Linked DNA regions of Rattus norvegicus. The protein of the gene in region 4 interacts with the protein of the main gene of each other region in a pairwise test. Links are inferred from orthologs where the notes say so. Each region holds a gene or a part of one and is shown on either strand. Other genes may lie near its edges.

What was found. The genes of interacting proteins can lie anywhere in the genome.
Region 1: the proteins of Ccdc136 (region 4) and Mos interact in binary tests that used the Homo sapiens proteins (3 or more experiments, as listed by UniProt). The two-hybrid records come from large-scale screens. The link is inferred for Rattus norvegicus from reciprocal best matches to the Homo sapiens genes CCDC136 and MOS.
Region 2: the proteins of Ccdc136 (region 4) and Nebl interact in a two-hybrid assay, tested with the Homo sapiens proteins (2 studies listed by BioGRID and IntAct). The two-hybrid records come from large-scale screens. The link is inferred for Rattus norvegicus from reciprocal best matches to the Homo sapiens genes CCDC136 and NEBL.
Region 3: the proteins of Ccdc136 (region 4) and Atp5po interact in binary tests that used the Homo sapiens proteins (3 or more experiments, as listed by UniProt). The two-hybrid records come from large-scale screens. The link is inferred for Rattus norvegicus from reciprocal best matches to the Homo sapiens genes CCDC136 and ATP5PO.

What each region holds. Positions count from the first base shown.
Region 1 is NC_086023.1:21,657,049-21,660,142, forward strand, and holds Mos (proto-oncogene serine/threonine-protein kinase mos), read right to left. Parts: upstream 1,809-3,094; 5' UTR 1,639-1,808; coding exon 610-1,638; 3' UTR 501-609; downstream 1-500.
Region 2 is NC_086035.1:85,132,497-85,136,657, reverse strand, and holds the start of Nebl (nebulette), read left to right. Parts: upstream 1-1,361; 5' UTR 1,362-1,543; intron 1,544-1,556; exon of another isoform or gene 1,557-3,641; 5' UTR 3,642-3,648; coding exon 3,649-3,729; intron 3,730-3,828; coding exon 3,829-3,900; intron 3,901-4,161. UniProt on the Homo sapiens protein: Binds to actin and plays an important role in the assembly of the Z-disk. May functionally link sarcomeric actin to the desmin intermediate filaments in the heart muscle sarcomeres.
Region 3 is NC_086029.1:44,654,684-44,658,807, reverse strand, and holds the start of Atp5po (ATP synthase subunit O, mitochondrial precursor), read left to right. Parts: upstream 1-1,324; 5' UTR 1,325-1,328; coding exon 1,329-1,364; intron 1,365-2,440; coding exon 2,441-2,491; intron 2,492-3,870; coding exon 3,871-3,981; intron 3,982-4,124. UniProt on the Homo sapiens protein: Subunit OSCP, of the mitochondrial membrane ATP synthase complex (F(1)F(0) ATP synthase or Complex V) that produces ATP from ADP in the presence of a proton gradient across the membrane which is generated by electron transport complexes of the respiratory chain.
Region 4 is NC_086022.1:58,976,696-58,980,195, forward strand, and holds part of Ccdc136 (coiled-coil domain-containing protein 136), read left to right. Parts: intron 1-447; coding exon 448-585; intron 586-912; coding exon 913-1,071; intron 1,072-1,552; coding exon 1,553-1,723; intron 1,724-2,090; coding exon 2,091-2,276; intron 2,277-3,500. UniProt on the Homo sapiens protein: May play a role in acrosome formation in spermatogenesis and in fertilization.

The sequences.
Region 1 (3,094 bases), on a different chromosome or scaffold from region 4:
TCCCTGCATCCCTCAGTCCCTGTCTACTACAGAGTGCTCCAGACTGGCACGCCCCACCCTCTGCCCTAAACTTCTCCAACCCAGGGACTGGGCTGCCCTTTCCCCAGCTGTCCTTTCTTATATAATCCATTTTAGCTCCCCCTCCCGTTTTGAATCTTCCAGCTGCTGTACCTACTTCTGTCTTCCTTCCCCCTTCTCCTCCTACTACTTCTCACATGGCTCAGGAACATGTCCGCTCTGGGCTTTCTCAGCCAGATGTCCATGTCTATGACTATGTCCTATGTCTCCCTCGTATCCGCAATAAACTTTCTCCTTCATTCCTAGGAGTAGTGCCCCCTCCTCCCACCCCCTTTCTCTTTTCATTCAGGAACAAACCTTACTACGGAAATGATACAGTAGACCCAGAAAGGTGACACACAAAGGGCTCAGGTTGTTTAACAACCGTGAGTGGTGCCCATGATATCTGTACCCTCGTTAGTCTTAGGAAAGGCACTTCAGGCTGAAGTTTGTAGTAACTTTATTTTCTAAAAATATGCCCTAAAAGCCCATCCTTACTTATTTAAAAATAAACAGAAACGAAAAGCTTATCTGCACACAGGCTCGATGGAGTCAGCCCAGTGCCCCTCGGAAAGCCTTCAGGTCCTTCTGGAGCAGTTCTGCACCCGGCCTCTGCAGGGCGCGGGCCTCCCAGCAGCTCTGGACGATGTTCTGCAGCGTCTTCCCAGTCAGGGAGGCGGTGAACACCGCCCCTGCCAGTGACGGGCGCAGATTGTAGGCTACCACTGCGTACTGCACGTACTGAGGCTCGCCGGAGTAAGGCACCTCCCTGGTGGTCATCTGCCACAGGGTGATGCCAAAAGAGTAGATGTCGGCTTTGGGCGTGGCGATCTCTCCTTTCAGGAGCTCCGGAGCTTGGTGCGTGTACGTGCCCCCGATGTGGTGAAGGGACGCCTGCCGGCACCGCAGATCCTGAAGCTTCTGGGAGCAGCCGAAGTCACTTATCTTACAAACGTCCTTCTCACTGATCAAAATGTTCGCTGGCTTCAGGTCCAAGTGCAAAATGCTTTGTGAGTGGAGAAAAAGCAGGCCGTTAACAATATCTAGGGAATACTTGAGGCACTTTCCCAAACTCAGTTGCTCTCTGCAGCTGAGAGGCTCTGGGGAGCGGGTGGCACCGTAGATGACTTGGTGTAGAGTCACATTGCCCCCAAACTCCATGATTATGGTACCAAGGCTGTTGGAACCTTCCGGCGTGCGCGTGCTGGCAGCCACAACCCGGACTATGTTGTCGTGGTGCAGCCTTGCAATGTTCAGTTCAGCCCAGAAACTCCGCTGGGATGCACGTAGGTTCCTGGTGCACTTGTTCACTTGCTTGATGGCCACAGGAACACCGTGGTAAGTGGCTTTGTACACCGAGCCAAACCCTCCAGAACCCAGCCTATGCAGCAGGCATACCTGTCCCCAGTCTATGAAGCACCAGGCCAGCCGGCGTGACAGCCGCGGGGCCCGAGGAGGAGTGGCCCCCAGGAACTTCCCCGCCTTCCTCGAGGCCACCAAGGGGCTGCTGCAGGACCTCGAGTCCACCGTTGGCGACAGCTCGCGAGGGAGGTAGCGACACAGGATGAGAGGCGAAGGCATTACACCCTCAGATGGGACAGTCACAAGAGACGCTAGAGAGAAATGACCAGGAACACCCAGGGAAGTTTGGAAGCATGGCTGAAGGTTTCCGCCTTCATCCCATTTCCCTTCTTCTTGTATTCTCAAAACCAGCCACAACTGTGCTCTCACGTCTTGCTGCTCAGCAAGGTTGGTTTTTTGTTTTTTTGTTTTGTTTTTTTTTTTATCAGGTGGGGTTGGGCGTGCAGATGAAGCCTGGCAGTCTCAGATGAAACGATTGCTCTCTCACAGCTAAAGTGAATCCTTAGCAAAACAACCTCTCACCTGTTAAACAGTACTGGCCTGCCCCAAAGCTCACCTCTCCTTCCAACTAATTCTTGAATCATAATACAATGAAAAAACATTTCAAGGACCTTCTGACGATCATTAATTGGTCCTTAGACTGAAGAGAAAAGCAAAAGTACAGTGAACTTGGTGCACACTTTTCAGGCTATAATGATTGTTCGTGCTAGTCTCCAGCTGCATTAAATCAGTCCCAGCAGCTATTGGCTGCAAGAGTTGCAGTACAAACAGCAGACACTTGTTGAACTACTTGGCAGGGTTATTAGATGCAACCTTCATAAGAATTAACATCTGTAATTTTAATGTCTTTGATCCAAATACAATCTCGGATAGAAGGCAGAACTCGTACCTCCTAAGTCCATCAGAAGGGAGCAATCTGACACTGTATTTCATTTAAACAGCAAGTTAAGACTCCTTAACAACACACTGACTTCTACCGTCCCTTCCTTTCCCAGGCAAGTTAGGTCACAGAGCAAGCTTGCTTCAAGACAGATTCTAGACTTCACAGCAAACAAGTTCCTGGAATTTAACGCAGAGTTGGAAGGAGGAAGAAAGGGACAAAGGTGATTGTGATGACCATAGCTGAAAATAACAGCAATCATGGAGAAACAGGAGAAAAGCCAGGACAGACATGCCCAGAGTCACTGGTCCCCATCAGATACTGAACATAAATTCAGGGTCTGGCCGTCAAACCACACATTCGTCGTTTTTGGTTTTATAATAATGTGTTTGCTTTTCATGCCCTATCTTCCGGGGAGTAGGGAAGAACAACAACCTTGCTCTGTTCATTCAAAAACGGTTTCTCAAAGTGGTTAGGAGTTACACTTTCTAGCCACGCAGGAACGTGTTTTTGTGCACATGGTGATAAGTGGTCAGTGTTTATGTGGCAGCTGTGTCCTTCTGACCTCAGAATCACAGATTTTGAGAAGGCAAGTTGATAACAGAGAGCCATTTATATAAAAAACTCAAAGTTCACAAAACTCCAGGTTTCTGCTTAATGGTGATGATATGGTTTAGTGTCATCTTGCACAGAGTATATAATTGTTACAGCCTCGATGCTTTATGTAATAAATTAAGAAAGTAAACATTTAGGGAGAATAAAAGTTGAGTAGTTTCAAATATATTAAGGGACAAA
Region 2 (4,161 bases), on a different chromosome or scaffold from region 4:
ATGTGTACACATCATGCTATCACAAGTTTAGGAGCCTTCAAAATTATTATTGTCATTGTCATTATTATTATTATTATTATTATTATTATTATTATTATTATTGTACTCTTAGGCTGCTGAGGGATGCCCTTCTTCACCCTTTGAAAGACTGAGACCCTTTTGTACCTGGTGCTTTTCTTATAACTATACACCTTCATCTTGTAACTGAAAATTCAAGCGATTTCTTTTTATGAAAGTGCCATTCTAATTTATGACAAAATGGAGGCGGGGAAGCATGGTAGGATCCTTGGTAGAAAGTATGGTTAAGCCAGATTTGGAATTCCATGGCTTCACCATGAGAAATGTGATCCCCCATGTTCTTATGTCTCATTCTGTATCACTTCATGGAGAGAGGAGCAAAATAGAAATGTAGACAAAGAACATAAAGAGTATGAAAGTAGCCAGGAGATTAGCAGCTGTGGAGATATTCCCTCTGGGGGTGAAAGTATGTATTGGTATACAACATTAAACTAGGATTTATGAATAAGAAGGATAGGTATTTTTGAAACATAATAACTACCCACAAAGAATCCTTTTTTAAAAAATTCCCCAAGTCAGATTTTTAGACCTACTGACAGAAAAGCTTGACTGTGATAACATCAGGGTTTAAATTTTTAGAGGAAACTTGACAAGAATTTTATATTATCCTCTAATGTAAATGAAAAGAAGATGCATTAAATCAAATGTAATGGTGTGTGTGTGGCTTGCCAGAAAGTCCATTAAAGAGGTCACCCAGCAAGGTTTGAGGTGTTTTATTTTTCCTCCCAGGATATGTGTTACTTACCACTGTGTCTCCTTTACCTGGTGCAGAACCAGCACAACAGCATCGCTGTGTGCTAAGCGGGCTCAGTCACAGCACTTACCACACCACACTGCAAATGAAGCCAGTAGTTCACTGTTTCTGGCCTTCAGTTTGTCCTCTCTGAAGGAAAGCACTCTAAGCGTGGGTTTGTGATGGATGTCAGCACTGGAGTCCAACAGAAGGCCTTGCAAAGAAACAAGAAAACGGCAGTAAACCAGCTATGACCCTAGCCGTCCTTGTATGTTTATTTTAAGACGAAACCTCTCTAAGTCATCCAGGGTGGCATGAAGCTCACTCTGTAGCTTGGGATGGCTTTGAATTTGTGGTTGTTTTGCTCCCATCTCCTAATAAGGAGGCTGGGAATACAAGCTTGAAAGACTTACTAAGGATCCAGGTGACTTTAAAATGCTGATTCCGACCTCTCAAAAGAAAAAAAATAATATGTTCACAACATGTGTGATGTTTGGTTGTGTCATTGAAACTTTTGTGCATTAAAGCTTGACTGATTATTTTCTTGCAGCCCAGTGAAGAACCATTAAGGACTCACAGCAAGAGAAGAGACACCGCTCAAGTCTCATGCAGGCCATTCTCTATGGAAACGGACATCACCCACAACAACACAAGCATTCTCATCTGAAGTGGCAGCCGAGAGGTTCATCTTGGACAGCGTTGGCAGGATTGTTTCCCTATATACTTCTGAAGGTTTGGAAGAAAAGTTTATAGAAATCATCCATCCATAGAAAGCATTTCCTTCTCCAAGGTAGTACAGAGGAGCTTCTAGAGAAGAGCAAAATAGCCTTTGAGAGAGGTCATGAGGGAAACTGCTACAGACCACATATTCCTAACCATACGAGAAAAATTCCAGCAGACTTGAGTGACGACGTGGCTGTTATTTCAAAGTTTCCCAATTTAGCATTCAGGGTACAGTTTTCCTTCTGGCATTTTGCTGGTTAAGTGGGGTCTGTGATATCATTAATTTGACCCCTATCCAAAACTGTTTCATGAGAAAGCCAAGTCATATAGAAGATAGTCAGATGTAACAATGTTTTCCTAAGTCGTCTTTCCCAGAGGGTACTGGATGCCATTAAGAGACAACGGTAGGCAGAAGGGATGGGAAGAGAGGAGGCAGACAAAATCCATGTTTTGGAAGGGAAAGGCTTAGTAAATTGAGTAGGGCTTTTGATTGATGGTCATCACAGATCTTTGCATGTGTCACCCTGGCATGTGGCACTGATGCGGCAGCTGTAGAATTCCTTTACAGGTTTCTTGAATAGATTTATTTTAGATCACTCTTTTTTGTCTTATCAATCATTTTGCATGTGGGGGGGGTACAGTTTTGCCTTTTGGGAAAGAATGTGAGAAATAGTATGTTTATGATAGTTGTGCAGAATTCTAATGACTTATTAGGTAAGGCTGGGCATTTTTCTTTTAAAAATTGATGAGGATATGTACAGATGTTTATATTCAATTGTTAAGAATATATTAAATGTAGCCTGAAGCTAGCCCCACAACTTCAAAATGGTTATTCTACCCCATAGATGTTCAGTGGGATATGTAGACATTAGCTCTTGTTAAGTTCAAGTTTTTTAATTTAAAATATTTTATAATAGTTTATTAAAAGGAAATTGAAAACAAGATGTGATATCAAAAATATACTCTGCTATGTTGGAATGAAGTATTGTTTTGGATAAAACTGTATTTTATGTAATTAGTTTAATTAGTCACCATGGGGCATTTTTCTAGTGCTGATCACTAATGTGCAATACTTTTATAAAAAGCAATTTTATCCTAAAATTTAAACAGCCAAATTAACATATCAGGAATGATAGATTCTTAGAATTGCTTAAATTGACAAGAAAGGATTTATTGTGAGAAGAATTTTCTTAATTATTGAACTAGTAAGATAGTCGACACAACAAATATGATAACGTAATTTCTTAGTTCTCCAAGTGTGGGATACAGTGAGACAATAAAAGATAGCTAGTGAGTTCAAGGAAATGCACACAATGACAGAAATGCAGGGGATTATTATTTCCAAAGCCGCGATGTTTCCTGAAGCCTTAAATAATATATCAACATATATTAACTTCAACTTCTCATGTTTAATGATGTTTACAATTAATATGGTACAGTATTCCCTAATTTGAGATTAGCAGTCGTAATTAACTCAGAATAGATTCTTTGAAGTGGTTCAAAGGGCTTTTTGTAATAAATTATTAGCCTCTAATCAGCTAATATGAAGTGAGTAGTTTTGGGGGATGTGAGAAGTACATTAAAATCTCATAAAACATTTAATTTAAGTTAATGAAATGAATTTGTATGGTACAGATCTCTATATGGAAACAGAGCCATGACTGGCATTCCAGAGGAGGCTTTATTTAGACCAAGTTGAGAAATCTTTGGGATAACAGGCTTTAGGCTGTGATATCTTAGGTGTTAACAGCTGAGTAGATTTCTAGAATTGTCAAGTCCCTTTAAGACCATTTTTTTTAATTAACTGAGTTAGTAAAAGATTAAAAAAAACATTTTGTCTTGGGTTTCTTTTGCTATCCTAAGAACGTTGATTTTAAGTTTGTAAAATTGAGCTTTGACTCCCGAGAGAGTTTTCGCTTGTAAGGCCGGACCTGGCAGACCTCAAGGATCCTGGGTGTTCACTGACACACCATTGAGATAAGGAGAGCAACATGAGCCAGGGATTAGTCTGGCAGGCCTGTTGCTTCCAGCGCCCCAGAGACTCTGTAGCTCACGGTGCGGTGGTCCAGGAGAAGACGCGCGTTTGAAAGCATTAATACCTCCATAGGGTAACGATGAAGGTGCCTGTATCCGGGGATGTGAAAGAGGAAACCGAAGAGGAAAATGTGGAGGAGGAAGAAAAGCCAGAAGACGAGGTGAGCAAGAAAGAATTCGCCCAACCACAGAACTCAGTCCTTTAATAGGCAAAGAGACACAGGACCTTCCTCCTCTCTCTCTTTTGAATTTTCACATAGGTGTTTCTGAAACCTGTCGTTGAAGACCTAAGCATGGAGCTGGCCAGAAAGTGCACCGAGCTCATTAGTGACGTAAGTGGTTTAAGACTTTGACTTATTTGCTTCCTTTCCATGGAATGGCTGTGTTGGAGAGTCACGGGGCTGGAGAGAAAACCCTGAGGTCATCAGGTAGAGCATTGTCATTTTCTAGATCATAGAACTAAGTCGGACATGTCAGGTGGTTTCCCCAAGGTCAGGCAGTCAGGGAATGCCTGCTAGAACAATTGCTCTCATTCCTAATCCAGGTCCTGTCCCTTCCGGGCTGTGCAGTCCTACTAAATCGAATGGTGTCCT
Region 3 (4,124 bases), on a different chromosome or scaffold from region 4:
CGTCCCCTGGCACCTCACAACCATCTCTAACTGCAGCTCCAAGGGACACAAAGTCCTTTTCTGGACTCTCAAGCAACAGGCACACATGGTGCACATAAATACATGAAGGAAAACACGCATACACATAAAACCATTTTTAAAGGAATGTATTTGCAACCCATATAATTTTCTATCCATCTTCCCTCATATTAAGGTAAAAAGCAAAATTATATATTTTGCTAAATTATATATATCTGCATGTATAAAAAGCACAAACACAAAATAAAGAACTGTCAACTGCTCTATGCACCCAAAATATGTTAATTTTCCCAACACAGTGTAAGGCAATGGTCTACAATACTATGAATAACGATTTTATAGCTCAGAAAACTGAGGCACAGGGAAATTGTGTGCTTAGAGGCCGAGGTCACAAAACTCTAAAGATTCAAGCCTGGGCAGTCTGCCGACTAAAAATATTTGGGTAAACAATTCCCAACTGTGTTAACAGCACAAGACTCAGGGTGGTTGAAAAGAAGGGGGTGTATTCTCCTACTTTTCTCCTGATGACAGTGATGGTGATGATGATGATGATTATACATAGGCATACATACATATATATTAAAAATGACCAATCAACTAAAATGTATTCCTATACTACATCTAAGCAGAGGGGGGTTTTTGTTTTGTTTTGTTTTTTTCTTTTAAATTTAGCACAGAACACCGCGTTACAACCGGGAACCTTGTCGTCGGATGTTGACCTTTTTTTTTTAATTGCGGAAAAGAGTGTGTGTGTTGAAAATGAATATAGAAAAACCGGCCAAGGTGTGCTGGGTTTTTAACTTTCTACATCATCTTTGATTAAACCCTGATTCTAGTTCTGGATTAACTCTGTCCTGAAATGCACACAGAGTCAAAATCTAACAAGTCAGGGCTATGATAAGACTGAGAAGGAAAGGGAAAACTATCAGGCCAGAAGAGCCAAGCAAGACGTTATCCCCTGGGAGATTCGCTTGTGGTTTTTTTGTTTTAAGTAAAGCCTGAAGCATTGTCACAGAACCACACTTTGACAGGTTCTAGACATGGCAGAGATGTTGACGATGCATATGCAAAGAATCTAAATGTAAACCTAGTTTCAGATTTAATTTTCCGATCTTGTTCGGGTTCAAGAGTCTAGCGGGACCACGGCACCTATGGACTACAACTCCCAGCGTGCAAGAGGTTCTTACCCACACGCCCCGGCTCCTGGTGCGTTCATTTCCCAGAAAACCGAGCGATCACGCCGACGCGCGCATGCGCTCTGGCATCACTAGTCTCTTACTTGGGTTTGACCTACAGCTGCCCGGGAAAAGATGGCCGCACCAGCAACATCCGTGCTGTCCCGACAGGTAGAAGCTGACGGGAGGGTCCCTCCTGGGGTTCCCGGTCCCCGACTCCCAGCGCTGCGTGTGAGGCTGTGGCTGAGGGGTCAAGCCGCCCACCAGGGTCGTGGGGCCCGGCCATTTCAGGAAGCGTGGGGCTGATTCGCGTTTTTTCCCCCGTGGGGAGTGGGCACGAATTGCGCTATCTTGACCTTGACATCCAAGAGTCGATGCATAGCTGAGCAGCTGGCAAAAGCATGGGAGAGAGAATTGGGGAAAGCACACGTCTAGCCTTGTTCGTAAACCTGCCAGGGCTAGCTGCTGCTTGGCAGTATTGAGTGTTCGTAAAGCGCATTCCATGTGTTTATAAAGAAGGAAGAAAGGGTTAAACCTCTTCTTTGGCTGGCAGCCAGTAAGTGGTGAGATTGCAACGGGCCAAGTCCAGCAGAAACTGGAATTGGGTGGATCATCTGCCCTGATGATTTTAATTTGTACTTAATTCATAATTTTTATCAAGGCCTGAGAAAGCTTTTTAACCCTCATAGCCAGTTCTAGTCGAGTACACCCTAGAGATGGGAGTATAGACAGTGACCTGTGCCCTTGAGAGGTGCTTTTTAAATGGCATTCCAGGCTTCTCCAGTGACAGACTCAGTGCCTGGTGCTATATGAAAAGATCTTTGGTGTTTGATATCACTTCAATTCCTTAGCACATAGGTTTACTCGAATCAAGGCTGGCCTCCTCTTATGTTCATTAAAGTTTTTCCCAAAGGTGATAGAAATATAAATCCTCCACTTTGCTAAAGCATTTTCCTCAAATGTGATAAAGCTCTTGACTTTTTTTTTTTTTTTTTTAAATTCAATTTTGAGAAGCTAGCATTTTCTTTCTCAACTACCCAGGGAGGAAGGCAGTTGAAAGACAGTTTCTGAAGCAGTTTGGGGTGACTCTCAATAGGGAATGTATAGGTAATAAGGAGCAGTTCCCAGTCATGTAAGCTTTGTGACGATAATGTAAAAGAATTATGCAGCTCTTTGATTGGAATATTTTAACCTATTGCTAAGCTAATGCAGAAACCCTGTCTCATCTATTTTCTTCTGTTCTAAAGGTGCGGAGTTTCAGCACATCTGTGGTCAGGCCCTTTTCGAAGCTTGTAAGGGTATGTCAGCTTGCATTTGTCTGTGGGGGGGGGGTGGTTGGAAAGCAGTGAGGGAGTGAGTTGAACAGAAACACCGTGAAGTGTGTGTGCGATTACTAAACTTGGTCTGCAAGGATAGCAGTTCTCAAACGACTGCCTGGGATGCAGGGGATGCTGTCAGGTGCCTGTCACATAGGGTGGGCTCAACCCTAGTCTTTAATGTTCTAAAATGTACTTGTTTGGGCCAGCAAGAGGGCTCAGTCGGTAAAGGCTGGTGATGACAACACACACACAGGGTATGTATAAAAGAATCTTAAATTGTTTTTTCTAGTATTCCTCCATAGACAAGCTAGCCTTTCCTTCTCTTTTTATGAAGGAGCTATTTGTAACAAAAGAAAGTAAAGTACCCAGATTCTAACATAGTCGATACTCTGTGTTGCCTCTTGACTCTGGCAGCAGTGAGGTATGCCTGCAGTCTGCACCTTTTTTCCCTCAAGTAGAGTCAACACTGACAGGTACTGTTCCAGGCACCAACAACAGTCTGACTGAGCATTGCAGAGGTCTGCTGGCCTCTTTCTTTTTTTTCTTTTTTTTTTTTTTTTTCTTTTTTTTTTTCGGAGCTGGGGACCGAACCCAGGGCCAAGCGCTCTACCACTGAGCTAAATCCCCAACACCCCTTTTCTTTTTAAACCAGGAGTCTGACTGACCCCCATGCAGGCAGCTCCACCCTCTTACGGAATTCGGATTGGAGTGTGGCTGTGTGTGCATTTGTTTTGTAATCCTTTATTACTCGTTCATGCATGGCAGAATGTAAGGATACTCTGGGCTGCCGTGTGCTCTCTGACACCTGGGTCAGTCACTGCACTCACACTCTCCTCAGGACTAGCAAGGCAGAATGCTCTGGGGCACGTGAGATGGGACTAACAGCAGTACACACTACACTTCCTAACACCACCAAATCCCTTCATCCTCTGTGGGTGGAGCCATTTTATCCCTCCCGAGAACTTCATAAAACACCATTACCATGATGGGGACGCACGCCTGCACTTCTTACACGCTGTCCCCCTCCGCTTACCTTCACAACTGCCTGCCATGGTACTAAGTAAACTCCTGTGCTTAAGGACAGCACTGTCACTGGGGTCATGAGGTCAAAGAAAGCAAAAGCTTGCCATAACAGTTGCAGGCAGGGAGGCTGGGAGGGACACGGGACACTGCCTTCCCTGCCCCTCCAAAGTTAGGGCAGGTCCTGGCCAGGGAGTCATCCCTGGTTTGTGAATTCTCACTTAGGCTGCCCCTTGGTGAAGTATTTAAATGGTGTGGCAGTGGGAACGTGGTCTTAGCTTAGGAGTGATTCTGTTCCTGGCTTAGCTACCTCACTCCCCTCCTCCTCTTGTCTCCAGCCCCCTGTCCAGGTCTACGGCATCGAAGGCCGCTATGCAACCGCCCTGTACTCTGCTGCGTCTAAGCAGAAAAGGCTGGACCAGGTGGAAAAGGAGTTGCTGCGAGTGGGGGTGAGGAGCTCTCCTGTTGGACCTGTTCCCACATTGTCTTCAGTTACTGTAACAGGGCATGACCTTAAAGAGAAGCACTAGACACTACAAAGAATGTTTACTGCAGACATGCTGTTGATGATGAGACAGCTTTATTATTCTGA
Region 4 (3,500 bases):
GAGGCCAGCCTGAAGAAGTTCCAAGATGTCCAGGACTACACAGAGAAATTCTGTCTCAGAAAACACCGACAAGAACAAAAAGACCAGGATGCCATGTTATGCTGACAGCATCTTCAAATGTCTCGTATCTGTTGCCTCTATTAATGGCCTCTTTTCCATTTGTGCTTAGTTCACTGTCAGGGTATACATTAGCATCCCGGGAGCAGTAAAGCACAGTCACAGACACACGTGCCGTGCTTATCTAAGTTTGTGTAAGTGTACTCTATAATGGTTACACGATAGTTCAGTAGTGTGGTGACAGATTTCTCAGCATGAGTCTACATTATCATGTGGTACCTGACTATATTCTGATCAAAGGAATGACATATTTTCTCATTTCGGCGCGCGCATGCGCACGTGAATATGTGAGCTCTACTATAAATCAGCCCCATTCCATTTTCCACACAGTGTAAGAACTTGTGCTGTGAATTGGAAGAGCTGCAGCATCACCGCAGAACCAGTGAGGAGGAGCAGAAGCGGCTGCAGAGGGAGCTCAAGTGTGCCCAGAACGAGGTGCTCCGGTTTCAGACCTGCCACACCACCCAGGTAAACACTGCCAGGGGAAGGGCAGCAGGGCTCAGAGTCACAGCCTCCAGGGAGGCTGGACCTCAGGAGTGAGGCTGAACTCTGCAACTCGTACCCTATGACCAGAACCCAACAGCACCACCCAAAGCCCCTGCATATAGAAGCCGCATAGGATGGCATGTGGAAAGGTGTCATTGTTGAGTGTTTTCATCACTGAAGAAACTCAGACATAGATCCAGAGAGCTTCTTCTCAAGGTCTCTGCCTCAGAAAACTATCTATCACAGAGGCCTGGATAGGGCCCTGCTACTTCTTGAGAGTAACTGCTCTACTCACCCTCTCCACTACAGAATGAGGAACTGAAGAGCAGGCTCTGTGCCCTGCAGCAAAAGTATGATACTAGCCAGGATGAACACAGTGAGCTTCTGAAGGTGCAGATGCAGCTTCAGTCTGAGCTCCAGCAGCTCAAACTCGTCAGATGCACACCTGTAGAGAGCCAGAGTGAGAAGGTAACAGTGCCAAAGGTAAAGGGACAGTGGAGGGGCCAGCAGTGCTGACTGAGGTCTTGGGGAATACAAATAATGGTAACTCCAGAGCTGGGGATATGGCTTTTGGTAGACTGCCTGCATAGCATGTGTGAGGTCCTAGGCTCAACTCCCAGCACTGAAACAAATCAAAAGGGGGCAACTGGTTTTTGAACCTAGTGTGATAGAGCATATCTGTTATGACAGACAGAACTGAGAAGATAGAAGCAGAGGTATCAGGAGTTCAAGGCCAGGGCCAGCTACATAGACTGGATTTCATGGGATTAGATTGCATTTGTTTATAAACAAACCAAAAAGATGACTGTCTTCTTCCAGTTCTGCATAGGTGGGAGGCACAAGTGGCAAGTAAAAGGAGGAGGTAGATTCTCAGGTGGTCAGTGGCTGAGTCAGGAGAAGAGCAAGGTCATAAAACCCAGCACCACTACCCAAAGTCCCCTGCATGCAGGAGTTAATGTGCCGGCTCCAGAAGCTGCAGGCCCAGCACCAGTGCAGTGTGAATGAGAAGGAACAGCTTCTAGAAGTCCAGCATCACCTGCACGACAAGCTGCGGTGCCATGAGTCAGAGATGCATCGTCTCCGAGAGATGGTGGACTGCTTGCGAGAGAGAAATGAGAAGGTAAAAGGAAGGCCAGGCCAGGAGCACATAGCCAGGCAGGATCTTCTGTGAGGGTAAGCAGAGTGGGATTGTCGGAGTTCTGTGGAGGAGCTGCTGTGAGGTGGACCCAGGACATGCAGAGAGAGCTGCTATAGAGATATCCTCAGTTTCCTTTTATTTTAAACCAGAAAATCAGTCTACAGAAAGGAATCCTGTTGCTTCCTTCAGGAGGAAGCCTCACAGGTCAGGGCGTCAAACCTGTTAAGGATAGGTCTGTGTGGTTCTCCCTGGCTGGGATGAAGTCTGGGTTGGAAAGTAGGCTGGGAAGGTCCAGAGTGAGGCAGTAGTCGTACATCCCATGGGTGATGGCTCTGCCTTCCCTACACAGAATTCAGGGATACACCTCCAGCTACAGGAGATGAAGGGATTGTATCAGTGCAGCAGGGATGAGCTGGAACGGCAGAAGCACATGTATGACCAGCTGGAGCAGGACTTCATGCTCTGCCAGCAGGAGCTGACAGAGCTCAAGTCCAGCCATTCCTTTTGTGAAGACAGTGGAAACCGCCCCAACAAGGTAATTGTACTTGAGAGTGCTAAGTGCTTTTGGCACCAGCTTGGGAGAGAGGAGAAACAAAAACAAGGGATGAGGTCACCCAGCTAAATGCAGAAGACAAAGACAGACCCATGTCTACTGGCCTTAAAACAGTTCATCTTGAGCTTGACTTGAATAAGAACCATAGCTTAGTTGATCGATACATTGGATCTCAGTCAGTATAAACATCTGTTTTTCATATGACCCCATGTATATATGTATTTCTACATTGGCATTGAAACTGTATCAAAGTCTCATCATTTGAAGAGAGGCACAGACACATGTTTAAACTAAAGAGAATAGAGCCAGATTTCTGAAACAGGTTGCAAGTGATTTTAAGGTTGTAGTCTGTACCCAGAATGCTGATTTGAGTATTAAAAGAACCAGTGGTCTTTTAGGATATAGTAAGACTTGAAGTAAATTATCAAATCTTGAATTTTGCTTCAAATTAAACAAAATGTTATTTTTGGGGGGGTTGGGGGGTGGATAGGAGTGTTGAGACAGAGTCTCAGTGTTTAGACTAGGTTACTCTTGAACTTGTGGCAATCCTCCTGCTTCCGCCTTTATTGCTCAGATTACAGGCATGTACCACCATACCCAGCATGGTACAGAACAATATTTTTGTCCCACTTTCTTTAAGAAAATAGTTCCAGCAGTGATACATAAGGGCTTGTTCACTTTTCCTGTGGTGTATTAGATTGGTGTCAGCCAGTGCCATTTCCCCTGTTGAGCACTATCAGCCTTGGATCATGATAGAACTGGAGAGGAGTGGAGCCCTTTGGAGAAGAGGCTTAAGAGTCTTGGGAGATGGTGAGGTCACATTCTGCAAAGGTGCTCTGGCTCCCACCTCTCCCAGTAGAAAGAAGACTGTGTCCCTGGGAAAGGCCGTTGTGACATAGAAGATTGAGAAGGGTACAGTCTGGTTGCCGCTCCATCGCAGGGCTTGCATTTCGCTGGCTTTCTTCTCTCCCACTCAGTTGAGAGATCCACTGGATCCCTGATTTGCTTCAAGACCTCGTACAGTGCTGTAGCCTACAACAAGTGAAAGACATGCTGGTGTACCAACCGCTGAGATTTTACCTGACTTTAAAATTCCTGGTTCTGAGAATCAGAGGCTGATGTAGCTTTAACCCAAATTCAGCAATGGCTCCTATTTTACTAAAGGTTTTACAATATAATGAAGACTGGGGATGTAGCTTAGAGGTA